Sus scrofa: one gene and its partners. The protein of the gene in region 1 interacts with the protein of each later gene in a pairwise test. Links are inferred from orthologs where the notes say so. Each region holds a gene or a part of one and is shown in the gene's direction. Other genes may lie near its edges. The genes, in order: VIM, FABP4, PPL, SMARCB1, MRPL44, KIAA0408 and DGCR14.

What was found.
Region 2: the proteins of VIM (region 1) and FABP4 interact in a two-hybrid assay, tested with the Homo sapiens proteins (2 studies listed by BioGRID and IntAct). The link is inferred for Sus scrofa from reciprocal best matches to the Homo sapiens genes VIM and FABP4.
Region 3: the proteins of VIM (region 1) and PPL interact in binary tests that used the Homo sapiens proteins (3 or more experiments, as listed by UniProt). The link is inferred for Sus scrofa from reciprocal best matches to the Homo sapiens genes VIM and PPL.
Region 4: the proteins of VIM (region 1) and SMARCB1 interact in binary tests that used the Homo sapiens proteins (3 or more experiments, as listed by UniProt). The link is inferred for Sus scrofa from reciprocal best matches to the Homo sapiens genes VIM and SMARCB1.
Region 5: the proteins of VIM (region 1) and MRPL44 interact in a two-hybrid assay, tested with the Homo sapiens proteins (2 studies listed by BioGRID and IntAct). The link is inferred for Sus scrofa from reciprocal best matches to the Homo sapiens genes VIM and MRPL44.
Region 6: the proteins of VIM (region 1) and KIAA0408 interact in binary tests that used the Homo sapiens proteins (3 or more experiments, as listed by UniProt). The link is inferred for Sus scrofa from reciprocal best matches to the Homo sapiens genes VIM and KIAA0408.
Region 7: the proteins of VIM (region 1) and DGCR14 interact in a two-hybrid assay, tested with the Homo sapiens proteins (2 studies listed by BioGRID and IntAct). The link is inferred for Sus scrofa from reciprocal best matches to the Homo sapiens genes VIM and ESS2.

What each region holds. Positions count from the first base shown.
Region 1 is NC_010452.4:43,515,306-43,519,240, forward strand, and holds the start of VIM (vimentin), read left to right. Parts: upstream 1-1,135; 5' UTR 1,136-2,334; coding exon 2,335-2,897; intron 2,898-3,521; coding exon 3,522-3,582; intron 3,583-3,935. UniProt on the Homo sapiens protein: Vimentins are class-III intermediate filaments found in various non-epithelial cells, especially mesenchymal cells. Vimentin is attached to the nucleus, endoplasmic reticulum, and mitochondria, either laterally or terminally.
Region 2 is NC_010446.5:55,094,961-55,099,199, forward strand, and holds the start of FABP4 (fatty acid-binding protein, adipocyte), read left to right. Parts: upstream 1-1,439; 5' UTR 1,440-1,509; coding exon 1,510-1,582; intron 1,583-4,210; coding exon 4,211-4,239.
Region 3 is NC_010445.4:37,491,487-37,494,986, forward strand, and holds part of PPL (periplakin), read left to right. Parts: intron 1-217; coding exon 218-338; intron 339-767; coding exon 768-893; intron 894-982; coding exon 983-1,024; intron 1,025-2,440; coding exon 2,441-2,602; intron 2,603-2,689; coding exon 2,690-2,797; intron 2,798-3,500. UniProt on the Homo sapiens protein: Component of the cornified envelope of keratinocytes. May link the cornified envelope to desmosomes and intermediate filaments. May act as a localization signal in PKB/AKT-mediated signaling.
Region 4 is NC_010456.5:49,882,044-49,885,543, reverse strand, and holds part of SMARCB1 (SWI/SNF-related matrix-associated actin-dependent regulator of chromatin subfamily B member 1), read left to right. Parts: intron 1-859; coding exon 860-1,026; intron 1,027-3,500.
Region 5 is NC_010457.5:125,731,102-125,735,218, forward strand, and holds the start of MRPL44 (39S ribosomal protein L44, mitochondrial), read left to right. Parts: upstream 1-1,317; 5' UTR 1,318-1,335; coding exon 1,336-1,514; intron 1,515-3,020; coding exon 3,021-3,489; intron 3,490-4,117. UniProt on the Homo sapiens protein: Component of the 39S subunit of mitochondrial ribosome. May have a function in the assembly/stability of nascent mitochondrial polypeptides exiting the ribosome.
Region 6 is NC_010443.5:35,741,352-35,745,559, forward strand, and holds the start of KIAA0408 (uncharacterized protein KIAA0408 homolog), read left to right. Parts: upstream 1-1,451; 5' UTR 1,452-2,844; coding exon of another isoform or gene 2,845-2,955; 5' UTR 2,956-3,149; intron 3,150-4,208. Other genes in the region: protein SOGA3, read left to right, coding at 276-1,451, 2,845-2,955.
Region 7 is NC_010456.5:50,953,219-50,957,205, reverse strand, and holds the start of DGCR14 (protein DGCR14), read left to right. Parts: upstream 1-1,187; 5' UTR 1,188-1,259; coding exon 1,260-1,394; intron 1,395-3,067; coding exon 3,068-3,236; intron 3,237-3,327; coding exon 3,328-3,429; intron 3,430-3,987. UniProt on the Homo sapiens protein: May be involved in pre-mRNA splicing.

The sequences.
Region 1 (3,935 bases):
CGAAGGGTTCCAGGCAAACTCACAATAGTGACATTTGCAGAGCGGAGCTCGCATAAAGGGCTCTCAGAGCATAAGTGGGCCCGCTAGGACGCCACACCCCAGGAATGCGCCTCGGGAGGGACCCGCAGAGCGGGGAGAGAATTAAGGCAATCCACAGCGGGGGAGCGGTACAGCAAGGGGTCCTGCAGCGCGACCTTGGCAGCCCCACCGGCCAGAACGAACTGAAAGGAGGTAAACAAAACACTGCCTAAAAGAGGCTTGTACAAAGAAGTGAAAATAAACCCTTCATTTGGTTCTGAACTATTTTTTCTTAAATGCCAGGCAACCTTCAGGGCCCCCCTTTCCAAAACAAAAACACAAAAGCAGAGGGAAGAATTTTATCTCCCTCCACATCCACCACTGAATCAAGATGTTTCTACTTTTGCAGTGATTTTGGAGTTAATCCGTTCAATACTCAACTCTTCTAAACACTGAAACACCACAACAATAACGACGAAAACCTGTGATTTTTAAATTGCTACGAAATCACTGACAGACTCTCTTCTCTGTTCTGCGCTTTACTCATTCCCAACAAAACCCCTTCAGTTGAGTGATTTACCTAGAAAGATTTTCAGGTTGGAATCTGAACACGCCCTTGTGCCCTGGACCAAAAGTTTTCTCCTTCTGTAGACAGCTTTATCCCCCTCACTCCAAGATGAATTGCAGGAATTCTTCTGGAAAATAGGCTAAGGGACCTGTGACATTTCTCAGACAAGTCACCAGAATCCTGCGCTGTGCATCATGCGTGAACTAAAATGAACACATAAATCTAGTCTCAAACATTCAGTCCCTTGAGTTACATAACTGCCTTTTATTAATCAAATTAAACATTTAAAGCAACATCTACTTAATTCTATAATTGGTGTAGATTATATCTTTAATGTCTCTCACTACAGCAGAAAAAGCAGTGATCACTCAATTGGATTTTGCAACTACAGAGTTTCCTCTTTCACCCAGAAACGTTCAGATCTTGTTAAAAGTCGGGTGCGGTTTTACGGGGGGAGGGGGTGGAGGAAGGCGGAGAGGAGACCGGAGGGGAGGCGGGAGGAAACTTTGCAAGAAAAACCCTCCCCAAGTGCCTTTGTGAGGCCGGAGACCGGCGTTTGGCGGTTACAGAGCCTCCGCGGAAGTTTCTTACTAAAGAGAAGCCAGCATATTGGAGCAAAATCTGGATTGGGCGCGTTCCTAAGAATTTAGGAGCGCTCTAGACTCCAAACCAGCGAACGGCACATAAGAAAGCAGAGCCCAGCTCGAAGTTGGGTAAAACTTAGAACCAACAGTACTCGCACAGTGGCCCGGGGAGACGAAAGTCAATCTCGTCTAACGGTTTTCCTGAACCGCTAGGACTCCTCAACCTCGGTGGCGGGACAGCAGAGCGCAGTGACTCACTGCCAGTGGTGACTCAGCGACCCCACCCATCTCCCCTGGGCTTTCCTTGGCCACTTCCTTGCAGCTCCTTGTCCAAAGCCGGGCCCAGCCGGTTAGGTCCCTGAACAGGAACTCCTACTACAGGAGGACGAGGAAAGTTGGGGCCGGATTGGTCCCGCTGTCCAAGCAGGCGTGCGCAAGGCTGCGCAGAGCCCAGAGCCCTGCGCCCCGGGCTGTGCGCGCCCCCACCTCGCGCTCCAATCTCAGGCCCTCTTTGTTTCTTTCTCCACGCCTTCCGATCTGCTGGATCCCTCACTCCTCTCTTCCGGCTCCTTTACCCGCGGGGCCCCCCCACCCTCGCGCTTCCAGGCGACCGCAGCCAAGGGGCCGCGCGCCCCTCCCACCCGCACGCTTCCTCCTACGCCTCCCTAGCTGGCTGGGTGCCCGGGACCCTTGTGGTTCAGTCTAGGGAGGGCTCCCCCATCACCGCGGGACCCAGCCTTTTTCATCACCCAGAGGTGAGCACACCTCAGGCCATCCTCAGGAAAGCCCCAAAAGTTCCAGTTCAGCCTCCAAGTTACTGGGGGACTGAGCATAGTCCCGGTTGCGGAGGAGGGGGGAGGAGGGAGGCTCCCGGGCTCCCCCGCCCCAAACCCCAGGCCAGCCTTCCCGCCTCTCGCCGGGTCCCCATTGGCTGGCGCACTCCGCCGCCGGGATGGCAGTGGGAGGGAACGCTCCATCCTAAGGCGGTTATAAAAACTGCGCCCTCGGCGGGGTCCCGTCCTCTGCCACTCTTGCTCCGGGGTCCCCGCGCCAGAGACGCAGCAGCGCTCCCTTTGCCCACACCCACCGCTCCCTCGCTCGCCTCTCCTCCCGGAGCCAGTCCGCGCCACCGCAGCCGCCCAGCCCACTGCCACCTCTGCAGCCATGTCCACCAGGACCGTGTCCTCGTCCTCCTACCGCAGAATGTTCGGCGGCCCTGGCACCGCTAGCCGGCCGAGCTCCAGCCGGAGCTACGTGACCACGTCCACCCGTACCTACAGCCTGGGCAGCGCGCTGCGTCCCAGCACCAGCCGCAGCCTCTACACCTCGTCCCCGGGCGGCGTGTACGCCACGCGCTCCTCGGCCGTGCGCCTGCGGAGCAGTGTGCCCGGCGTGCGGCTGCTGCAGGACGCGGTGGACTTCTCGCTGGCCGACGCCATCAACACCGAGTTCAAGAACACCCGCACCAACGAGAAGGTGGAGCTGCAGGAGCTGAATGACCGCTTCGCCAACTACATCGACAAGGTGCGCTTCCTGGAGCAGCAGAACAAGATTCTGCTAGCCGAGCTCGAGCAACTCAAGGGCCAGGGCAAGTCGCGCCTGGGGGACCTCTACGAGGAGGAGATGCGAGAGCTGCGCCGGCAGGTGGACCAGCTCACCAACGACAAGGCCCGCGTCGAGGTGGAGCGCGACAATCTGGCCGAGGACATCATGCGGCTGCGGGAGAAGTAAGACTAAGCGCCCGCGGGGCTTCAGGAGGGCGGCAGAGGGGAACCGAAGCTAACACGCCCTTGGGGATGTGGCTGGGGCGGTGGCTGCCTGGGGTACGCGGTGGGCGGGGGGAGAGCGCTGTGGCTGCTGCGGCGCAGCCCTGCCCTGAACCCAGATCTTGCAAGTTAGCATTTACCCTCTACCCCGACTCATTGCCCAAGAACGACCAAAATTCAGATTTCTTAAAACTACCACTTTGTTGTTACTCGAAGGCTCCTGCAAACGATCAGTGCGATTCCCCCAAACTTTGAGAAAGTTTCCTGGTCCCCTCTGACGGGCTGCTCTTTCCCCAGGAGCGGTGTAGGAAGCGAGACAAAGGGATTGCAGAATCTTCACGGGGGAGTGGGGTGGTGGCATTCGCCTCCCAGGTCATTGTAGCAACTGCGATTGCTTTTTACGCAGCGGCCAGGGTCCCTTTGAGATTTGCCAAAGGCAGCAGTTCTAAAAGCCATAGTCGCCGACTGCCACAGAGGTGGCGCAGCAACTCGGCTGTCTCGCGGCGAAGACGTGGTGGTTGGGTGTGGTCGCCACGCCCCTGGCGGTTTCCCAGTTCCCCTTCGGTTGATGTGCATCTCTTTCAGGTTGCAGGAGGAGACGCTTCAGAGGGAGGAAGCCGAGAGCACTTTGCAGTCTTTCAGACAGGTTTGTAGATTCTCTTCCCACTTGCAGCCACCCGACCCCACCCACCCAACCTACGGGCAGTTCTCAAAGTTACTTAACCCAAGTCTAAATCGTGCAAAACTTCTCGTCTGCTCGCCAAGCCCCCTAGTGGCAGAAAGACCACAGTTGGGAGCTTCTCCGCCTTAAAAACCCTCGAACGATTAAACCGTTCCTTCCATAGGACGTGAATAAAGTCTTTTTGACTTTGTTTCAAGATTTTTTTCCCCCAAGACATGACTTTTTTTTTCCCGTTTCGGTTCTGCAACACACTGATACTCTGATCTCGAACAGTTACAGTTTGATTCAGACTTCGGTTTGCCAAAGTCAAGCTAGCT
Region 2 (4,239 bases), on another chromosome or scaffold:
GGGGTCCGAGCCGTGTCTGTGACCTACACCCCGGCTCCTGGCAACACCGGATTCTTAAGCAACTGAGTGAGGCCAGGGATCAAACATGAGTCCTCATGGTTACTAGTCAGGTTTGTTACTGTTGAACCGTAATGGGAACTCCCCATTTTTATTTTCTTGTTCAATGAATATATAATAACAAAAGCCCATGGGGAAACGTACACCACCCACAGTCTATATCTCTAAGCAACAGTCCTGAGTGAGCAAACATATGTTACTGTGCCATTAACATATGCAACACTTAAAATTACTATTGTAACATGACTTTATCAATTTTTCATAGCAACTTGCTTTCCTCCAGAAAATCCTGTGGTTTACAGAAGGCTCTGTCTCAAATATTTCTGGGAAGATTTCAGGATACTGACAAATCAATTCTTTGATGCAGATACTGCTCAGTTGAATACATGGTGTAGAGATTCACCACTCTGTAATATTTTAATTTGTTTTTTTTCTTTCCTGAAATTTGGGTACATTTATGTGAATATCTCCCATCATTCTGGTACAGGGAAGGAAGTGGGGGAGGGGGCTGAAATACATAATTATTTTAGAAAAGCATCCTCAGGAATACTTCACCATGTGAGAGAAAGAAATTAGATTTTGATGGCTTGTGACCAAACCACTTCTGATTATTTTTAAGGAAAGCAACACCATTGAGCTCTGGATAAATTTAGAGCTTATGATATAGTTCAGGAATTGGATGAATTTTCTCAGTATGGGAAGTATGTTTTGGACTGGGGTCTATTTTTTTAAGGGGTCCGTGAAAAGCAACATCATCCTCTCATTGAGGTTTAATTATCATTATTAATTAAATCTACTGTCCAGATCACAGTGGATAATTGGATTTACTCTTTTTTTTTTTAAATCCATCCCAAATATTTGAAATGAGAAGCTTCGGTTACTTTGAAATGCCATTACTCATTTTGTTTTAATTGCCAGGTAATTCTTAAGATAAAACTGTTCCCCAAAGCCTCTGCAAATAACTTAATATTCAAGGTAATTCTTACATTCCTCAATTCTAACGAACCACACAATTGTAATTTTAATAAAGACTTCAGAAAAGGGAGTCAAAATTTACCCCATGATAATAAGCCTGCTCTACTCCACACTGGGATAAATATGTATGAAAATAATAGGAGGAAATTCAATGCGCCGAACACTAAATGGTCAGAACGAAAATGTTTAAAATATTTTCTTAACGGCTAAAAATAAGTTGTACTCTAAGTCCAATGACCCGTTGCCAGGGAGAACCAAAGTTGAGAAATTTCTATTAAAAACATGACTCAGAAGAAAAACTGCAGAGGCTAGTAATGGTGGAAATGATATGATATTGTTCCTAATTGGTTACTCCTAAGATCACATGTTCTGGGCATCTTTAAAAGGAAGTTATCTGGACTGAAGAGAGTCATTGCACCTTCCTGAAGGTTACGGCTTCTTTCTCACCTTGAAGAATAATCCTAGAGTGCTCACAAAATGTGTGATGCATTTGTAGGTACCTGGAAACTTGTCTCCAGTGAAAACTTTGATGATTACATGAAAGAAGTGGGTAAGGAAATACATTATGGGATAGCTGGATTTACAAGTTTTTCTCTGGGGAAGAGTAATTTATGGCTGTTTTTCACTCTGGAAGCACCAGCCAGACATGAAGTACTGCTTTTTGTATAGAGACTATAAAGTAACAACTGAGAATCACTTGTTTCTAGAAACATTCTAGACCAAAGTCACAACTAATGCTTCTTAAAGGTGAACTGATATGAAAAAGGATATAAATGAATTGTTATAATGTGCAGAAATGACAAGATTTTATTTGATTGCTAAACCTGGGTATCTTTGGCTTACTTGGCTCTTTGCTTCTTGTTCTTTCATTCCTTTTGCATATAAACTAAGCAGTAACTTGGAAATAAAACTATATTTACTTCTTAGCATGCAGTATTTTCCACTGGAAACTGAAAGCATTGTATCTGTCATCTTAATGTAATTTTTTGAGTAACATATGTTAACCAATTATTTGATTGTTTTAAGGTCAATCTATTAAAGTGTGTGGCTATCTAAGGGGAGAACAAAATCTTAATTTCAGAAAATATGTTCCTTAAAGATCTGAAGTATTTGACTAAAAATTACATGAGATGGCATAGTATTGTTGATAATGGAGGCTTTCGGGTTTTGAGACTCTGTTGACATTGTTTGTGTGTTCCCCGATAGTGACAGAAGCAAAGCAAGGGAGAGGTGAGATATCTGTCACTCTGGTAGCCACCCTCATCGTGAACAAGGTGTATCCAGGGGCTGAAAACTGGGGAGGGACTTTTTTTCACAATATCTTTAAGGGTTATGGCATACTCCCTAAATCTCAAGAGTTAAGCTTCTTCTAAACCTTATGGTGTATTTTTTTTGTCTGTAACTACTGTTTTTCTTGTTTATAGGCAAGAGGGTAATCAGGGACTTTGGCATGAATGAGACCAAGCTTTCTAAAATAACAACTAGTTGTAATTCAATAAACAAATTAACATGTACTGATACAGATATGCCAGGATCTGAGATTATTTAACTGCTGATTTTTAGAAACATTTTACACTGTTAGTATTTATATATAAATTTTAGACCATGCTGTTTTAAAATGATAAAGTGTTAATGATAATGAAAGACAAAAAGTTATGTCTTGAAATTAGCTGGTTTAATTGATTGCCTATGGTAAGCAGATATTGCCTTCATCAGCCAGATGAGGACAGAAGCAAAAAAGCGGAAAGTACGATTTTTCTCAGCTCGTCCCATCTGGAATCACACTCCACTCTGCATCCATTCACGACGCTGATTCATTCTGTCTTTGATGTCTTATTTTGTAGAAGAGCCAGGGCTTGATGAAGCAACATATTATCTTTCTACCTGTTCCCATTTTCAGACAAGGAGCTAAATCAGAGCTGCCATGGCTTGTTCTGCACAATATTCCCCTCCTTGACCCTTCTATTTCTAAACTTTGGTATCTATTAGTAGCCTTTAGTCAAAGAAGCAACTTAGATTTGTGCACATGTTTTCTTTTTTAATCCAACACATTTATGACAATCATAAATTTTGTATAACATATGCAGTGTCAGCAAGGTAGTGCTCTCTGTGATGGGCTGTAAATTATTCATCCCATGCCTGTCACACATGCAAAATACATTCCTCTTCTTTTAAATAGAAGAGTTTTCCATTTAAGTGATTGGGAATCAAAGGATTAATTTCTAAACTTACTACAACAGTAATTTCTTAAATTTTAAAGTTTTCACAATCGATGCCTAAGTCCTCATTAATATTTTCTATAATTTATTGGGAACAACCTTATCATTCTAAAGTGTAATGAATGTAGGAAATATTGTTTGGAAATGGTTTTGGGAAAATTAATCAAAATCTTCATTGCATGTAATTTGGAAAAAGCCAAGAAAACTAGACTTGGCAGAAAATGCCATGAAATGGGATTTTTGGATACCCCAACAGATTCATTTTTAATTGAGTAATTCTATATCAGGCCCCCAAAATACTACTGAGAATTCTTTCCTTGACTCAGGATTAGATCATTTTTGTTAACTAAGAATCCAAGGTCAATGTGGCCCAAGTGTGTCATGAGCTGAGTGACAAGTGGTTGCCCTCATTGTTGAGATGGCCAGTTAATTGAGAGTGTAGTGGCTTTTGAAACATATGTTCCAGGAGAATCTTTGTACATATTCTTGTTCAAAAGTAACAATGAATCTCCTAAGAAGTTGTTTCTGAAACCCTGAGGGGGAAATTTAAAGAATGGACTTACATCGTATCATGCTTCAAGTGTTCTTTAAGTATTAGCCTACTTTATTTACCTGCAGAAGATGTTTAAATAAGACATTTAAGAAACTCTCAGGAGACTTTCTCCCCCTCCCCCATTTTTTGGGGGTTTTTTTGTTTTTGTTTTTTAGTCTCACCTGTGATATGTAGAAACTCTTGGGCCTGGGACTGAACTGGTGCCACAGTGGTGACAACACCAGATTCTTAACCTGCTGAGCCACAGGGGAACTCTTGAAGTCTTTCTCCTTTTATGCACATGTGCATCCATCTACACACACACACACACACACACACACACACACACACACATACACGCATTCCTTCTTAGATAAAGATGTGAGAGAAAATTGTAAACTTGATCTTTTTCTTTTCCCAACTGTAGGAGTGGGCTTTGCCACCAGGAAGGTGGCT
Region 3 (3,500 bases), on another chromosome or scaffold:
CAGGAAACATTGGCAGGAGAAGGCAGGATGAAGCAAAGTGCACAAAAGCAGGGTGGGAGTGACTGCCCGGAGCCCAAGGCCACCGTGACCCTGACTTTCCAGGTCACTGCGCAGAAAGATGAGGCCGGGGGCTGGGGTGGGAGGTACCACCTCAGGGAGAGGCCAGTCTCCCCACCAACCAGCCCCACTAACCTGGGTGGCCGCTCTCCCTGCTCAGCATCCGTCAGCTGAAGGAGCGTGTGACCAACCTCCGCGGGAAACACAAGCAGATCTACAGCCTGGCGGTGAAGGAGGTGGACCCGCAGGTCAACTGGGAGGCCCTGGTGGAGGAAAAGCTGGTACGGCCTGGGCTTCAGCTGGTGGAGGGCATGCGTGGGCCAGGAGACCCCCACTGTTTAAGCGGTGTCACAGTCCAGCCAGGGAGGGAGTCATGTTCTCAGTGTTTCTTAATATTTGTGTCCATGACATGAGCAAGGCTCAGAGAGGTGCAGCACCTAGCCCAAGGTCACAGAGCAGAAGTAGTGGAGATTGGGGCCCTCCCGGGATCGTTTGGGTCCTGCCAGGCTGGAGCCAGGGGCCAGATTTTGGGCTGGCTGCTGCCCTTCCTGTTTCCTTGCCAGCCCATCTCCACCATGGAGAAGCTCGGCCACTGATGTGGCTCTTAGCGAGAGACTCCCCCTCCCCGGCGGGCTGCGTGTCCTGAGCCCCAGCCCATACCTTCCCCCCCCCCCCCCCACCCCCGTGCTGTCTCTCTGCCCGCCGGCCAGGACAAGCTAAGCAGCCAGAGCTTCGGGACGGACCTGCCGCTGGTGGACCACCAGGTGGAGCAGCATAACATTTTCCACAATGAGGTCAAGGCCATCGGGCCCCACCTGGCCAAGGACGGGGGCAAGGTGTGTGCATGGGGGTGGAGGGCCCCGCTGGGACGAGGGGCTCCCACCCGTTCCCCCACCCTAACCCTGGCCCCCTGCTCCGTCCCCAGGAGCCGAACAGCGAACTGCAGGCCAAGTACCAGAAGCTACTGGTGAGATGCCCTGGGGAACAGGATGAGAGGGGATGGGACGCCCGGCTGTGGGGTCAGAAGCGTGTGCAGTAAACATTTCAAACAGACAGAGGGCGCTGAAGGCAGAAGAGACAGTACCCCGAGCCCTACCTGAGAGGCGCCCCTGCTCGCCTTGTGCTCCCAAAACCCCAAGGGACCCCCATCCTACTGTTTGCTTCTTTTTTGTGTGTGCTTTCTAAAATTATTAAAGTGTAGTTAATTTACAATATTGTGCCCATTTCTGCCACACACACATACACACACACACATATTTATATATATATATATACACATTCTTTTTTTTTTTTTTTTTTTTTTTGTCTTTTTAGGGCCATACCCGTGGCATATAGAAGTTCCCAGGCTAGGGATCAAATTGGAACTACAGCTGCTGGCCACAGCAACACTGGATCCTTAACCCACCCAGCCATGCCAGGGATTGAACCCCTGTCCTCATAGATACTAGTCAGGTTTGTTAAGTGCTGAGCCAAGACAGGAACTCCCTATATATGTTTTTGTTATGCATTTTAAAAATTATAATTGATTTACAATGTTACCGTTTGCGTCTTATTCTTTATTGAGCACCTACTGTATGCCAAGTATGATGCCATGTGCTTAATAAGCAAACATTTTGTTTCCCTTTCAAAACGTTTAAAGAATGTCCTTTTTTTAAAAAACCATGACAGCAGCGACTCGTCTCATCTCCTCTCGCATAGATGCTTTCTTGCTGTGGACGTGAACATGCAGAGGCGGTAACAGTGTAGCCATCAGAGGCCCTGGAGCCAGGCTGCCTCCATTCCTTCTGGTGGAGGCCTTGAGCGCAACCTCCTTAGCCTCTGGGAGCCTCAGTTTCCTCCTCTGTAAAACGATATTACTTCAAGTCCCTGGCTCACAGCGTGCATGAGGACTGCGTGAGTTAATGCGGAAGAAGCACAGTCTGGCACGTAGCGGGCTCCCTATACGTGTTCGCTGCTGTTCCTGTTTGCAGAGTGGAACTCACACATCCCTCCTCCTCCCCCGCCTCCCTGCCCTGTGGGAGTTTGGCACCATCCGCCTTATGTCAGGACATGTTAAAGGCAAAAGTGGAGGCATAGCTGCTGATGTTTATTGAGCACCAACTGCATGCCAAGCTTAGTGCCCTGTGGGCTCAGAGCTGTCATTATCCCCATTTTGCAGACGAGTAAACTGAGACTTCTCAAAAATGCCAGTTCCGTAAGGGTTTCATCTGTTTTGCTCACTACAGTGTCTGCAGTGCCCGGAGCCATGCCCAGCACTCAGTAGATGCTCAATAAACATTTGCTGAGCGGGGGAAGGGGTTTAGTGGGGGGGCTGGGCTGGGCAGGGAGTGAGCAGGGAGGCTCTTCCCCGCCTGCTGCAGCCCCATCCTCACCCTGCCTGCAGGCGGCGTCGCAGGCGCGGCAGCAGCACCTGAGCTCGCTGCAGGACTACATGCAGCGCTGCACCAACGAGCTGTACTGGCTGGACCAGCAGGCACAGGGCCGCATGCAGTATGACTGGAGTGACCGCAACCTTGACTACCCCAGCCGCCGGCGCCAGTACGAGGTAGACACTGGGTTCTGGGGCGCGGGGCCTGCAGGGACCACGGGCTGCCGGACTGGGCGCTGAACCCCTGCACTGCCCCCGCTGCAGAATTTCATCAACCGGAACCTGGAAGCCAAAGAGGAGAGAATCAACAAGCTGCACAGCGAGGGGGAGCAGCTGCTTGCCGCCGAGCACCCGGGGAGGAACTCCATTGAGGTGCGTGAGTCCTGGAAGGGGACGCCTCTTCCAGGCTGGCCTCAGGGTGGCCTCTGCTGTGGGCTGCCTGCATTCGAGCAGTCCTCAAGGTGGGAGACTAACCTCCTGAGTACGCCTGTCCATCTGCCTTTCCATTTTCCCGTCTCCTCTTGTTCTGTCTGACCCTGCCCCCTTTCATTCGTTTGATGCCCTCCCAGACTCCTGAAGCCCATGGGAGGGCTGTATTAGCTTCTTATCCCTGCTGTAACAAATGACCACAAACTAGATGGGTTTGTTTATGTATTTTTTTTAAGTTATACTGAAGTATAGTTAACTGCCAAGGCTGTGATTTTTTCTGCTGTACAACAAAGTGGCCCAGCCACACACGTCCACATAGCCATTCTCTCTCAGAGGCTTTGGGTGGCTTTAAACAATGGAATGTTATTCTCTCACGGTTCTGGAGGCCAGACGTTCGAAATCAAGGTGTGAGCAGGCTTGTACCCTCTGAGGCTCTGGGGGTGCATCCTTCCTCGTCTCCCTTCTTGCTCCTGGGGGCTGCTGGCCGTGCCTGGCCTTCCTTAGACTGGAGCTGGATTTCTCCTCCACCTGCTTCTGTGTCCTCACGAGGCCTTCTCACCGTGTGTCATCTTCTTTCAAGCCCACCCTAAATCCAGGATGATTTCCTCTTGAGATGCTTAACCAATTACAGCTGCAAAGACCCTAT
Region 4 (3,500 bases), on another chromosome or scaffold:
TGTGGTCCTCGAGGTTTGAGGCTGTGAGAAGAGGCTAGGTGGGGCGAGAACACTTGACCACACAGGACCTTGCTGAGGTCTGGCCAATTGTAGCCATCCCCGTGAAGCTTGCCCTTGGTGCAGTTACATTCTCAGGAGCTGTACACATCTCCTTGCTGTCACCTGGTTGAGTGCATGAGCTGCCCACAGAGTCAGAAACTGCCCGAAGATCTGTAAAAATCCACAGGCAGCCTGACATTATCTCTGAGAGATTTCTCTACTGGGGAGGAAATGGTGAGTGGACACACACCTACTTGTGCATGGGATGCTGGCCTCACAGTGGCTTTTTCAGAAGGAACCTGTGTTAGCTCAGGCTGCTATGACAAAGTACCAGAGGCTGGGGGTATAACACCAGGTTTGATTTCCCCTGGGTTCTGGAGGCTGGAAGTCTGAGATCAAGGTGTTGGTAGCGTTGGTTTCCTCTGAGGCTATCTTCTCCCTGTGGACCTTCCTGGTTGCCTGAGTCAGAAGAGGGAGGACATGGTATTTCAGCTCTGAAGTGCCCTTGTGTACCCTCTCCCCAGACATCTCACTGGTAGAACTAATGGAGCTGTGTGGTCTTAAGCCTGGGAGCAAGGGGGGCCTGGTATGGGGGAGCGCTTAGGGTCTTGACACCTCCCAGAGGTGTGTGTGGGGATGTGTGTGGAATGAGGGCCAGAGGGGGTGCTCGTCTCTTTCCTCCCCTTAACCTTTTCCTTCTCTTCATCCTCATCTTCATCCGGGAGGTTTGGCAGAGGAGGAAGGGGTAAGGGAGATCAGGGCCCAGAGCGATGAGATGAGGCCCTGCAATCCAATGGCAGTCCCTACCTCCTCATTGCAGAGAAGCTGATGACCCCTGAGATGTTTTCAGAAATTCTCTGTGATGACCTGGATTTGAACCCGCTGACATTTGTACCAGCCATCGCCTCTGCCATCAGACAGCAAATTGAGTCCTACCCCACAGACAGCATCCTGGAGGACCAGTCAGACCAGCGGGTCATTATCAAGGTAGGCAGCTTCCTGCCCTGCACTGGGGCTTCCTTATCCTGCAGAATGTGGGGCGGGACAAGTGCGGAGTTCATGAGGCATTGAAGGTACTTGGAGGCCTTGACAGAGCTTGTCTGGGGTCCACGCTGTGGGATGGGACTTCTGAAAAGCTGTCTTTCAGGCAACACTCTTATCCCGGGAAGGGCATGGGCTGACTTCTGAATAAGATATCACATTCAGGGGGTGCTGTGTGACATTGCCAGGCATGGTGCAGAGCCCAGTGGTACAAAGGAGATGAGGCTAGATGATAGGTAGAGCAGGGAAGCCCACAGTAGGATGAGTACCCTCTTCCTGTGGGCAGGCTGAGTCAGCACACTCCATACTGTCTCAGTAATCTGCTGCCATCCTGGGGGAAGATTCTGTATTACAGGTGAGGAGGTGGGCACCTAGAGAGGTCAGGCAGGTCACCTGTCCCAGCTTCTCCACTGAGAAGTCTTAGAGCTGGGATTTGGACCCAGGCCTGTCCTCGGCAGAGCCTGCTTGGTGTGAAGCATATATCTTTGTGGTTTTGATTTGCATTGCCCTGTTGATTAGTGACTTTGACTATCTTCTCATGTGCTAATCAGCCATTTGTTTATCTTCTGTCTGCTTAAGGTCCTTTGACCTTTTTGAATCAGGTGTGTTTTGTTTTACCACTTTCTTATATGTTCTAGATACCAGTCACTTATCAGATATGTGATTTGCAAATATTTTCTTGCATGCTGTGCTTGCCTTTTTATTGTGTTGATAGTGTCCTTTGATGCAGAGAAGTTTTCGATTTTGTTGAAGTCCAATTTGTCTATTTTCTCATTTATTGCCTCTGCCTTTGGTGTCATATCTGAGAATTTATTGCCAAATTAAATGTCATAAAGCTTTTCCTCTATGTTTTTTCCTAAGAGTTTTATAGTTTTAGCTCTTACATTTATATATTCTATACAGTTTGAGTTAATTTTGTGTATGCTATCAGGTAAGGGTCCAAATTCATTCTTTTGCATATATATATCTTGCTTATCCAAAACCATTTGTTGAAAACACTGTCTCTTCTCCTTTGAATAATCTTGGCACCTTTGTTGAAAATTGTTTGACCACATATTTGGGGGTTATTTCTGGGTTGTCTGTTCCATTGGTTTGTGTGTCTATTTTTATGTTAGTACCACAGTTTTGATTACTGCAGTTTATTTTAATTTTTTTGTCTTTTTTTTTTTTTTTTCTGGCCACACCTGCAACATATGGAAGTTCCCAAGCTAGGGGTCGAATCAGAGCTGTAGCCACTGGCCTGTGCCACAGCCACAGCAACGTAGGATCTGAGCCACTTCTGCGACCTACACCACAGCTCACAGCAGTGCCAGATCTTTAACCCACTGAGTGAGGCCAGAGATCAAACCCATGTCCTCATGGTTACTAATCAGGTTCTTTACCGCTGAGCCACAAGGGGATCTCCTGATTATTACAGTTTAGCAATAAGTTTTGAAATTAGGAAGTGTGAGTCTTCCAACTTTGTTCTTTTTTTCATCATTGTTTTGGCTGGACATCCTTTGTCATTAGATTCCATATGAATTATATCTTTAATGTCTTTCAGCGTGTTTTACAGTTTTCATTATACAAGTCTTTCATCTTGTTGGTTAAGTTAATTTCTTAGTATTTTATTCTTCTTGATGCTATTGTAATTGGAATTTTTTCTTAATTTCCTTTTCAGATTGTTTATTGTTAGTGCAGAGAAATGCAGCTGACTTTTGCGTGTTAACTTTGTATCCTCCTACTTTGCTGAGTTTGCTTATTAGTCCTAACAGTTTATTTAATAGCATCTTTAGGGTGTTTTGCATATAAGATCATAACATCTGAGAACAGAGGACTTCTTCCTTTCCAAGTAGATATCTTTTATTTCTTTTTCTTGCCTAATTGCTCTGGCTAGAAATTCCAATGCTGTGTTGAATAGAAGTGGCAAGAGTAGGTTTCCTTGGCTAGTTCCTGATCTTAAAAGTCCTTAGCCTTTCACCATTAAGTATGATATTTACTATGACTTTTTTCTTTTCTTTTTTGCTATGCGCTTTTTCATGTATTGACTTTATTATGTTGATATAGTCTCTATCTGTTCTTAGTTGGTGAGTACTTTTATCATGAAAGCATGTTGAATTTTGTCAAATACTTTTTTCTGCATCAGTTGAGATGATCATGTGATTTTTGTCTTTCATTCTGTTCATGTGGTATATTATTACACTGATCAGTTTTCTTATTGAGCCATCCTTGCATTGTCAGAATAAATCTCACTTTTTGTTTTTGCTTTTGTTTTCTTTTTAGGGCTGCATCTGCGGCATATGGAAGTTCCTGGGCTAGAGGTTGAATCAGAGCTGCAGCTGCTGGCCACAGCCACAGCCACAGTGACTTGGGATCCTTAACCCACTGAATGAGGCTAGGAATCAAACCTGCATTTTTATGGACACATTATATTGGGTTCT
Region 5 (4,117 bases), on another chromosome or scaffold:
AGTGGGAAAGCAATATAATCATATTGCTATAGAATGAAAGAAAAAAGACCTATAAGTCCACTGTTATTTATTTATTTATTTATTTTATTTATTTATTGGTCTTTTGTCTTTTTAGGGCTACACCCATAGATATGGAGGTTTCCAGGCTAGGGGTCTAATTGGAATTACAGCCGCCAGCCTACACTACAGCCACGGCAATGCTGGATCCAAGCCTCATCTGTGACCTAAACCACAGCTCACAGCAAGCCAGATCCTTAACCCACTGGGCGAGGCCAGGAATCAAACCCAGAACCTCATGGTTCCTAGTCTGATTCGTTTCCGCTGTGCCATGATGGGAACTCCTATTTTTTTTTTAATCCAATGATTTTTCCCCCCATTATAGCTGGTTTACAGTGTTCTGTCAATTTTCTACTGTACAGCGAGGTGACCCAGTCACACATACACATTCCTTTTTCTCACATTATCATGCTCTATCATAAGTGACTAGATATAGTTCTCAGGGCTATACAGCAGGATCTCATTGCTTATCCATTCCAAAGGCAATAGTTTGCATCTATTAACCCCAAATTTCCAGTCCATCCCACTTCCTTTCTTTGATTAATAAAAACTGGTACTGTTAGATTTTTTTTTTAAGTAACAATTTTAATTTGGGTAAGTCAGTATCTCTTATTCTAGGTCTCTTGAAAGAAAGGCTTTTGGAGATATGCCAGGTAAATATTTGCACATAAACAGTGTTTCGCTTGATGGTCTGGAACTCTAAATAATATGTTGCTAAGAAGTGTTTCCTCCCTTTTGAGAATGTGTTTTCTTTTTCTTTTCTTTTTTTTTTTTTTTTTTATTTTCCCACTGTACAACAAGGGGGTCAGGTTATCCTTACATGTATACATTACAATTGCGTTTTTTCCCCCACTCTTTGTTCTATTGCAACATGAGTATCTAGACATAGTTCTCAATACTATTCAGCAGGATCTCCTTGTAAATCTATTCTAAGTTGTGTCTGATAAGTGAGAATGTGTTTTCTTTAAACGTGAATCTGTTCTTCTGTTTTACATTAATGAAAGGAAGGAACGAGAGCAACCAACAAAACGAAGCAACTTCGAGAAATTTCTGGATCCAAACGGACCTCAAACCAAGTTCACCAGAGTAAAAACCAGGTGAGCAAACAAACCAACCCCACAGAGTGTGCATGCGCAGTAAAACAGCCTCGGCTGTCTGCTGCCCCGCTCTGGCTCCGCTCCACCTTCGCTTTCCACCACCAGTTCCGGGGGGGACGGTGTTACCGGGGACACTGATCCGGCTCTTTTCCTTCCGCCCTCCATTGCTCTCTCCCCTGCGATGGCATCCGGGCTGGTGAGGCTGCTGCAGTGGGGACCTCGCCGCCTCCTGGCACCGGCCGCCCCGACTCTCGCCCCGCCAGTTCGGGGAGCAAAGAAGGGCTTCCGCGCCGCCTACCGCTTCCAGAAGGAGTTGGAGCGGTGGCGCCTCCTCAGGTGCCCTCCGCCGCCCGTGCGCCGGTAGGAGTCGTCTAGGGAAGGGGTCAGGGTGGCTGTCGAGGACCCGGCGAGGTCTCCTCTGCGGCCTCGGCCGGGCGGCGGCGCGGGTTGCTCGTCGTTAGTGCGCCCCTGGCTGGCGACGAGGAGTTTGTGCGGTGGAGGCACCCGCGGGACGGACATGAGTGGCCCGAGGCAAGGGAATGGATTTCTGCCGAGGGGTTCCGACACTTCGGAGCTCCCACTTAGAATCCTGTCAAGTGAGAGTTACGAGAAATAAGGCCGGCTGGGTCACCTTCATCTGGGCTTGGGTGCTGTGGCCCCTGTTTTGTCTTGCCTGAGACTTCTTCGGGATTTGGGGCAAGGAAAAAGATTAAGTGTACAGTCACAAGTCCACTGTCCAGAGTAAAAGGAAAACGGTTTGACGTCTGGTTTTTGCCTTGATTAACCTTGCTCCAGTAGTAGAAGTTCTCGTAGAAAGAGATGCAGATCTTTATAGCTACCCCCCCCCGCCCCCCCAAAAGATCCTATTAGACATGAGGTTTTGCATCTTTTTCTCTTTAATAATGTATCTCTGACACGTAGTTGTGGTCGTATAGGTAAATGAACCTCACTCTTTTATGGCTCCATTTATGGGTGTTCGAATTCCATGTTACTGCTGTCACCACTGATGTAACAGTGAATAGCTTTGAAGTTATTACTCCTTTGGAAATTTAGTATGAAATTTTGATAGGTACTTTAATATTGCCCTCCCCTCTAAAAAAAGTTGATCTGGTTTACATACCTAATTTAGGAATATATGTGATCATAGTTCTGTACTCTTTAAAAGTTCTTTCAAAAACAAAATACTAAGTTCTTTTCCTAAAAAGAATAACAAAATAGTGTTTCTTAGTTCGCATTTCTTTGATTATTGTTGAGATTAGGCTTTTGGAGTTGGAAGAAACTTTACAGATTATATACATTTTGATTTATAATCCAGATCTTTATAGTTTGTTGCCATTTTTTACTTAAAAGAGTTTTCTTTAAGACCTTTTAGTCACTCTTGAGAATGATTATGAACTTTTAACATACTTATAATATTGATACTAGTTTATTTAATTGCTCATTTAAATGGATGCTATCAAAACTTAAATCAGTAAAATACTGGGTAAATAAAATGTGCTTACTGTTTATGGCTTGAACCTATGAAATTATACTTTGTATTTCATGTCTAAGTATAAAGTAGGTCTGTGGTTAGAGCAGAAATAAAGAACCCAAAAGTTAGGATAATGTTTTAGTCTTTGATACTGAAAAACCGTTTCGATGTGGCGGTTGATTTAGGGAAAATTAATCCGGCAAAGAACCACAAATAATCTTCGGACTTGAGTTTTAATTTTCAGAAAATCAGAGTCTGGAATTAAAATGAAAGTCAGTCTTTTAAAATTTCCTTTATATAATGAATAAAATTGCATCACAGTGAAAAATGTTTGCGTCATAATAGCATCTTGTTCTCTTTACCTACTTTTTCTGTCTTCTGTTTTACATTTTCAGTTCAGAGAAGCCCAACTGGGATTACCATGCTGAAATACAAGCATTTGGCCATCGGTTACAGGAAACCTTTTCCCTAGATCTTCTCAAAACTGCATTTGTTAATAGCTGCTATATTAAAAGTGAGGAGGCCAAACGCCAAAAACTTGGAATAGACAAAGAAGCTGCTCTTCTGAACCTTAAAGATAATCAAGAACTATCTGAACAAGGGATATCTTTTTCACAAACTTGCCTCACACAATTTTTTGAGGACGCCTTCCCAGACTTGCCCACTGAAGGCGTTACAAGTCTAGTTGACTTTCTCACCAGTGAGGAAGTTGTGTGTCATGTGGCTAGAAACCTGGCTGTGGAGCAGTTAGCGCTGAGTGCAGAGTTTCCTGTTCCCCCGCCTGTGTTAAGGCAGACTTTCTTTGCAGTGATTGGAGCCCTGTTACAGAGCAGTGGACCAGAGAGGACTGCACTTTTCATCAGGGTAAGTGATTGGTGCTGGGACCTCCTAATTGCAGGTGCTGGGATGTGCTTGAGGTGGACAGAAAGAAAAGTTGTCTTTTATCCTGAATTTCTTGGCAGGTTACCTGTGAAATGTTCTCCCTACCCAAACTGAGAAAGACCTAAAGCTTTTTTATTATGGTAGTGTCTTAATTTTTCCAGTTGTCTCTTACTGAGGACAGCATCAGAGGTGAATATTGAATTTTGGGTTGTGAGTTATAAGGACTGCAAGCCATGTCTTTAGTTTTATATCCATGAGTACAAGGGTAGTGCCTACCCGTAGATGCTCAGTAGAAGTCTGATGAATGAGTGAAGGACACTATTGGAGGGCCAAGTGTGGTTAGGGAGCACCATGCTTAAATACTGGCTCTTGTTCTGCTCTTTTAAGTGATAAAATCTTGGATTTCTGATGCCTGTGACATATACCTAGCTTGTTGTTAGCCAGTAGTTTAGCTAATTAAAATATTTAAATAATTAGTATGGCTTAATTCCACTGTTGTTTTAGAATTTGTTAGCTGGAAGATGTTTTATCCTTTGCTTTTGGATGAAAACATGAGTTTTTGAATTCTTACATAATGGATAGTCAGGCAGTCACTTCAGGTCACAAAAAC
Region 6 (4,208 bases), on another chromosome or scaffold:
TAGTGATGACCATGATTTTTCTCTTTTTATATTCTTTTCTCTGTTTGTTTCTAGGATGTAATATTGTCCTAATGTTTTATTTGCTAGCGTTAAATGATTTGAAGAAAATGTACAGCATCTACTCCTCTCTCTGTGTTTCTCCCTCTCTCTGTGTGTCTCATTAAATCTTAATTATAAGAAACAGGAATTATTTTTGCAGGTGTCCTTTTTTGGTTGTTTTCCTGATTTACGTAAAAATAATCTCCCATCTTTTCCCCTTCTTTTTCCCAAACGAGGAGGACAATGAAGATTTGAAATGCCAGCTGCAGTTTGTGAAGGAAGAAGCTGCTTTGATGAGAAAGAAAATGGCCAAGATTGATAAAGAAAAAGACAGATTCGAACACGAGCTCCAGAAGTACAGATCCTTTTACGGGGATCTAGACAGTCCTTTACCCAAAGGAGAAGCAGGGGGACCGCCCAGCACCAGGGAGGCTGAGCTCAAGCTACGGCTGAGGCTGGTGGAGGAAGAAGCCAACATCCTGGGCAGAAAAATCGTCGAACTGGAGGTGGAGAACAGAGGCTTGAAGGCAGAGCTGGACGACCTGAGGGGCGATGACTTCAATGGCTCGGCCAACCCTCTCATGAGGGAGCAGAGCGAATCGCTCTCGGAGCTGCGGCAGCACCTGCAGCTGGTGGAAGACGAGACGGAGTTGTTGCGGAGGAACGTGGCTGACCTGGAGGAGCAGAACAAGCGCATCACCGCGGAGCTCAACAAGTACAAGTACAAGTCCGGCAGCCACGAAAGCTCACGGCACCATGACAACGCCAAGACTGAGGCCCTACAGGAGGAGCTGAAGGCTGCGCGCCTGCAGATCAACGAGCTCAGTGGCAAGGTCATGCAGCTGCAGTATGAGAACCGTGTGCTTATGTCCAACATGCAGCGCTACGACCTGGCCTCACACCTGGGCATCCGCGGCAGCCCCCGCGACAGTGACGCCGAAAGTGACGCGGGCAAGAAGGAGAGCGATGATGACTCCCGGCCACCACACCGCAAGCGCGAAGGGCCCATAGGCGGCGAGAGTGACTCGGAGGAGGTGCGCAACATCCGCTGCCTCACGCCCACCCGCTCCTTCTACCCAGCGCCGGGGCCCTGGCCCAAGAGCTTCTCAGACCGGCAGCAGATGAAGGACATACGCTCAGAGGCCGAGCGCCTGGGCAAGACCATCGACCGGCTCATCGCTGACACCAGCACCATCATCACCGAGGCACGCATCTACGTGGCCAACGGGGACCTGTTCGGACTGATGGACGAGGAGGACGATGGCAGCCGCATCCGCGAGCACGAGCTGCTCTACCGCATCAACGCTCAGATGAAGGCCTTCCGCAAGGAGCTGCAGACCTTCATCGACCGCCTGGAGGTGCCCAAGTCCGCGGACGACCAGGGCGCCGAGGAGCCCATATCCGTGAGTCAGGTACAGTTCTGCCTATTGCGAGCCACGGCGATGGCGAGGCTGGTCCATGGAGCCGCGGTCCCAGGTGGGGCGACTCCACGCACCGACCTCCACGCCCCGCTTTAGGGAAGTCCCAGCTCAGAGCCTCTCTGGGCTTGGAAGCCCCACAGCGCACTTGTTCTTTCACACTGTCCTTCTTCAGGCCTGAGGTTTTCGTAAGTCAATTACTTAGTAGTAACTCTTCATCCTCTGTTTTGTTTCAAAGGGAAATTTAACCCCCACTTCGTTTTTGTGTAAAGAGGAAAGGACTAAGATAGATATTATTGAAGGTTAGCATTTGCAGTATTAACTCTACTGATTCTAACAGATTGAGCTGCAAGAAGATCCCGAATAGAAATGTTCAATTGCTAATCTGTGGTTTTCGAGCCAAGATTCAAATAATTTGTAAATCAGTAAATGATCAGGGTTGATGCATAGCTATTGGCAAAAATGTGGAAACCAGCGGTAAAGAGAGATCATACTGTGTCTGGAGCCCTACCAAGAGAAGCAAATAGCAGCCGCTGCTGTATCATAAGTTGAAGTAAAGTGATCTTTATTTCTAAAGGAAATCACTGTCAGCTCTGTAGCGGAGAATCTCAGGACTGGGGAAGAAGTGTTATACTTTAGCTTTAAGGCAACACTAATTCCAAGAAATAGTAATAACTATTCCCGAACAGGGAAAACCAGCATTTTTCCTTCATCCTAATTTGTAGAGGCACACCTGATGAATTGGACTGATCTCTTCTAGCCAGGTATGGTGACCAAAGACCACTGCACTTTGTCAGAGTTAACCACATAAGAGAGCTTATAAAACCAACAGGCAGTGCTCCCCCTCTGGCAAGCCTGGTATCTTGTATCCATTGAGAACCCACAGAAGTACAACAGGTTGCATGGCTTTTAAGACACGCAAGAGGTTTAAATTTAGAAATCAGTTTATACACAGAAGCATGACATTGGATTAACTGCCTATTAGGCACAACTAGAAAAATTGCCACTCTATCGCTTATTTATCTTGCATGCTGCTTTGCTTTGCTCTTACAAAAAAAAGTTTTGTGATAAAATGTGTTGAATTTTGAAATGTTAAAGATCTCTTTCTCTGTGTTTTATATCAGATAATTGTTTTTTAGTTTCCTGACTGAAGATTTTTGAATACCTTGAGCATGTGGTTTTTCAATTTTGCCCTCAGGGGAAGAAATCAAAATCAGAGTGAGAGAAAGTATTGTGTATAGTAGTAGCCTTCAGATCTTGTAAATATATGTTGGGGAGGGTTCTTTATCTTAAATTGAATGAATGCTGAGGTTAGTTGATATAAGTTTAAGTTTTAAAAATTATTATTAATTAATTCTTCTCTTTGTCTTTGCATTTACCTTCCCAGATGTTCCAGCCTATCATTTTACTTATTCTCATTCTTGTATTATTTTCATCACTTTCTTACACAACGATATTTAAACTCGTCTTCCTTTTTACACTGTTTTTTGTACTGTAAATCTTTCATCATTTACCATTCATTGTAGTATTTCAGTTTGTTTGTTTTGTTCACCCTTCAAGACAAGAAGTAAAAGAAGTATAATTTCTGTAGTAACCAATGCTATAAAAACACTGAAGACTGCTTATTTCTTTAAAAAGACACATCTTACCCCTACCGAATTCAATAAGAAGCCCAAGCGTTAAAGATTTCAGGTAAGGGAGTAAGTATGACTTCTCTTTTTATAAATCATTTTAGCTTTTCCCTCTTTCTTTTGTATCTTGATTTCTCCTGTTCTTGATAAGTAGCTGTATGAATGACTGTAAAAATTGCCTAAGTCTCTCAATTATTTTTCAGTAGTTGACTATTATGGTCTTTCAAAAGCTGGACATTCACAAGTTGATCACGTTTTAGAAAATAATATAGATTTAAAAGTACCTTTGCTGAGTTGCATCAGACTAACAAGGTAATTTTTATATCCAGTAATTATCAATGAAAATTATGGTGAACAAATGAAATGTGACCATCATGGAACCTGAACAATTTATTGCTGTGTTGATGGCGGTCTATCCAAACAGATGTGTTTGGAAGCATGAGAGTGGGTTAGGCCTTAGTTCACTGAGAAATTAATTATCCTTATCCTACTGTATTTGACTAGCTTCGACCATTCCAACCAAACTAGCATTTCTGCATTTAGCTATTATACTTTTTTTTTTTTTTTGTCTTTTTGCCATTTCTTGGGCCGCTCCCTTGGCATATGGAGGTTCCCAGACTAGGGGTCGAATCAGAGCTGTAGCTGCCAGCCTACACCAGAGCCACAGCAATGTGGGATCCGAACCACTTCTGCAACCTACACCACAGCTCATGGCAACGCCAGATCCTTAACCCACAGAGTGAGGCCAGGGATCGAACCCGAATCCTCGTGGACACTAGTTGGCTTTGTTACCCGCTGAGCTACAACAGAAATCCCCCCCTTTTTGGGAAATATTTTGAGTGGGGGAAAAAACAGTCATTCTTTAGAACTTCATTAAATCACAGTCTAAAACCAGTAGCATAGTTCCAGTGGGAGTTGCTCTCTATACATAAACTTACTTTGGTGACCTTCAGCATTGCTCTTTTTCCTTCTACTTAAAGTGACCTGGATAGGTTGCATGTACCCAAAAGGCCCTATTCTGTCCATCTCTTTGGCAGTTTATATATGGAAAGCTGGACTGTACCAATGCCACCAAGATTTAGAAATACTAGCATTCAGAGTTCCTGTCGTGGCGCAGTGG
Region 7 (3,987 bases), on another chromosome or scaffold:
TGACCCCTCCTCTCCCTCACCCACCAAACCCAGGCCAACAGCAGGTTGATTTTCTCCAAAAACAATCCCAGAATCCATCTTCTTTCCAGGTTCCAGGTTGATTTTCTCCAAAAACAATCCCAGAATCCATCTTCTTTCCAGGCTCCAACCTGGTGAAAACCACTGTCATCTCTCACCTTGACCACTGCAGCCTCCTCCAGCTTGTCTGCCTGCATCACTCTGATTCCTCTGTGATTCATTCTCCGTAAAAGCCAGGGTACAAGTCCGAACCTGTCCCCCTCCTGCCTACAGCACTCCAAGGGCTTCCACTGCTCCCAGAACAAAGACAAAACAAGGTTGCCTTGACCCATGACTCTTGACTTACCTGCAGCCTGGCCCTGCCCCTCTGGCATCAGCTCCTACCCCACTGTTCCTTGCACTCTGTGTATGCAAAGGTCTTCTCCCTCTGGCCTTCAAACAAGCTCTCCCCCTCCACCTGGTCAATGCCTGCAACCACTCCCTTCCCTGGAAACTTCCCCTGACTGCCCCCCAGGTAGGATTCTGCTCTCTTGCACTTGACCGTGCCATTTTATGCCTGTTTGTGGGATGATCTGACTAGTGTCTGTCGTCTGCATTTGACTCCAGCTTTATGAGGGCAGGAACCAATACCATGGAGACACTACTCCATGACAGAATAACTGCCTATACTGAATCATTCTGGGGCAGAACTTGTTTGGTGTAATTCACAACCTCCTTTTGGAAGAAATGATGGTTCGGGAAAATGCTCAGGCAATTTTCTGGTCCACTTCGATAAGAATTAGCTGTCTTCTTGGAAGCCAACTGTAGCATTTAGGGACTAGACATTTCTCGCATAAAGATTGAATAAAAACTTTGAAACGCGTATATAACGAAGTTTTCTGAAGAGTGTGTCTTTGTTAAAAAAATAGAAGTATATGTAGTGCTTATTTGCGAGAAATTGGAATTCCAAGGCTTCCAAATATTCGGCGCTGGAATTTTTCACAATTAGCGGAAACGACACGCCCTTTAGTCTCACCACCGCAGCGCCCCCTGGCACCCACGACCCACAAGGCATGAACAGAGCGGGGCGGGGCGAGGAATACGAACCCAAAGGGTCCCGGTGACGTCAGTAAGGAGCGCCGGCCGGTCTTCGGAAACACGCGGCTCTCCGATTGGTCAGCAGTTTCAGGCGCCTGCGCAGCTGGCGCGCCCCACCTCCGCCGGTGTCGCCTCTGCGCCGCCGGGGCGGTGCTGGGATAGTGATGGAGACGCCTGGGCCGCCGGCCCGGACCCTGATGCTTCCTGCCGCGTCCCGGCCTCGGAGGAAGCGCGCAGCCGGGGAGGCCGGGCCTGCAACAAGCAGGCAGCGGGTGCTGGACGAGGAGGAGTACATCGAGGTAGGACTCGGCGCGGACGACAGTGACGTCTGGGCCCGTCCCGCGTTCCCCCTGTCCCGCGACACTCTCGTCTCCTCGCGGCGGTGGAGCAGTCCGAGCCTCTGCTGTCGAGCGTGGACGGTCTGAGAGCCAAACAAACAGCGTGTAGAGCGAGGTGTCCCTGCTGTCAGGGGGCAGTGGGGGTTGAGTGTGTCTGTACGAGGTTGCGGGTGGGCGTCAGAGAAACAAGTTTTTATTAAACGGTCATTAGGAATTTAGGAGGATGGTGACAGAACTTCCTGGAGGGCGATAATAACAAGTGCTAAGGCTGAGGGTTCTAGAAACGGTGGCATCGTGGCATCGCTGCGTCGGTGGGCCTCCCACCTTTGAAGTAGGCCTTGATCCTGCCGAAAACAACGCAGGAGAAGCTGGCACAGGGTTTGGAGGAAGTCAGTTAAGTGTAGGGGAGTCCTCTGCAATGCGGAGGCAGGTGGCTTTAGGGAACACCTGGATGCACGGACTTATAGCTCAGGATCAAGTCTGTCTGGAGCTGCAGAGGTGGGAATCTCAACCAGTGCTGGTGGTGGGGTGACTGGCTGAAGTCATCCTGGTAAAGGGTTCAGATCAGAATAGAGGGTGTGGGAGTTCCCGACCTGGCTCAGAAGTTAACAAATCTGACTAGCATCCTCATGCAGGTTCTATCCCCGGCCTTGCTTAGTGGTTTAAGGATCTGGTGTTGCTGTGAGCTGTGGTGTAGGTTGCAGATGAGGCTCAGATCCTGTGTTGCTGTGGTGCAGGCCAGCAGCTACAGCTCCCATTGGACCCCCGGCTGGGAACCTCCACATGCCCATGGGTTCAGCCCTAAAAAACAAAACAAACAAACAAAAAAGGAAGTAGTGGTTTTGGTGGAATGAAGGTGGCAACACGCACATTGATCAGGCTGATGTGGAGGTGGAGTTAAGAAAGGAGAGCGAAGGAGTTCCCGTCGTGGCGCAGTGGTTAACGAATCCGACTAGGAATCATGAGGTTGCGGGTTCGATCCCTGCCCTTGCTCAGTGGGTTAACGATCCGGCGTTGCCTTGAGCTGTGATGTAGGTTGCAGACGTGGCTCGGGTCCTGAATTGCTGTGGCTCTGGCGTAGGCTGGCAGCTACAGCTCCGATTCGACCCCTAGCCTGGGAACCTCCATATGCCTTGGGAGCGGCCCAAGAAATAGCAAAAAGACAAAAAAAAAAAAAAAAAAAAAAAAAAAAAAAAAAGAAAGGAGAGCAAGAATGATGGGTTAGAGAGTTTCCCTTGTCGTGAAGCAGAAACGAATCCCACTAGTATCCATGATGATGTAGATTTGAGCCCTGGTCTTGCTCAGGGGGTCGAGGGTCTGGTGTTGCTGTGAGTTGTGGTGTAGGTTGCAGACTTGGCTTGGATCCTGTGTTGCTGTGCCTGAGGCATAGGCCAGCAGCTGTAGCTCCGATTCGACCCCTAGCCTGGGAACTTCTGTGTGCCTCAGGTGCGGCACTAAAAAGCAAACAAATAAATAAACAAGAATGATAGGTTAGTGAGGGAGAGAGAAAGCTTTAAAAGTGTCCCCAAGCTTTGGGGATCATTGGGCTGGACAGAACTTGGGAGCCTCAGTATGCACTTTAAGGGCTGAAAGGCAGATGGAACCTCTGACTTGTGTTCTGATCACTCCTTCAGGGCCTCCAGACGGTCATCCAGAGGGATTTCTTCCCTGACGTGGAGAAGCTGCAGGCGCAGAAGGAGTACTTGGAGGCAGAGGAGAATGGAGACTTGGAGCGCATGCGCCAGATCGCCATCAAGTTTGGCTCTGCCCTGGGCAAGATGTCTAGAGAGCCTCCACCGCCCTGTAAGAGGACTCCCTTGGGGGCGGGGAGGGGACTCCCACTGAACTGTTGCCTCAGGGCCCCTTTCTTTATTCCCACCCCGACTTTCCCCAGATGTGACTCCAGCCACGTTTGAAACCCCTGAGGTGCACACAGGCAGTGGAGTGGTAGGCAGTAAGGCCCGGGGCCGGGGCCGCGGCCTGGAGGATGGCACTGGTGAGTGTGTGTTCTTTTTTTTTTTTTGTCTTTTTGCTATTTCTTGGGCCGCTCCCTCGGCATATGGAGGTTCCCAGGCTAGCGGTCCAATCGGAGCTGTAGCTGCCAGCCTACACCAGAGCCACAGCAACGTGCAATCCAAGCTGCATCTGCGACCCACACCACAGCTCATGGCAATGCTGGATTGTTAACCCACTGAGCAAGGGCAGGGATCGAACCTGCAACCTCATGGTTCCTAGTTGGATTCGTTAACCACTGCGCCACGATGGGAACTCCATGTGTGTTCTTTTTGCTTGGGGCCTTCACCTTGGGGGCCCAGTGGTGTCCACAGGCAGACCACACCTTGTCCTTGAGGGTCTCTTTGCCTTAGTGGCACCCATAGGGTTTGGGAGCTACGGTCTAGGAAGCAGAAGATCTGGGTCCCGCTCCAAAAGTAGGGAATCCTCTGAGCCTCTGCCCCACCTCCACTCCCCACCACGAATGGGAACCTTGAGTTCCCTCTTGGTGGCCTTCTCACTGTGTCAGCCCTGTTGGTGGGCTTATGGGCCTTGGAGGGCT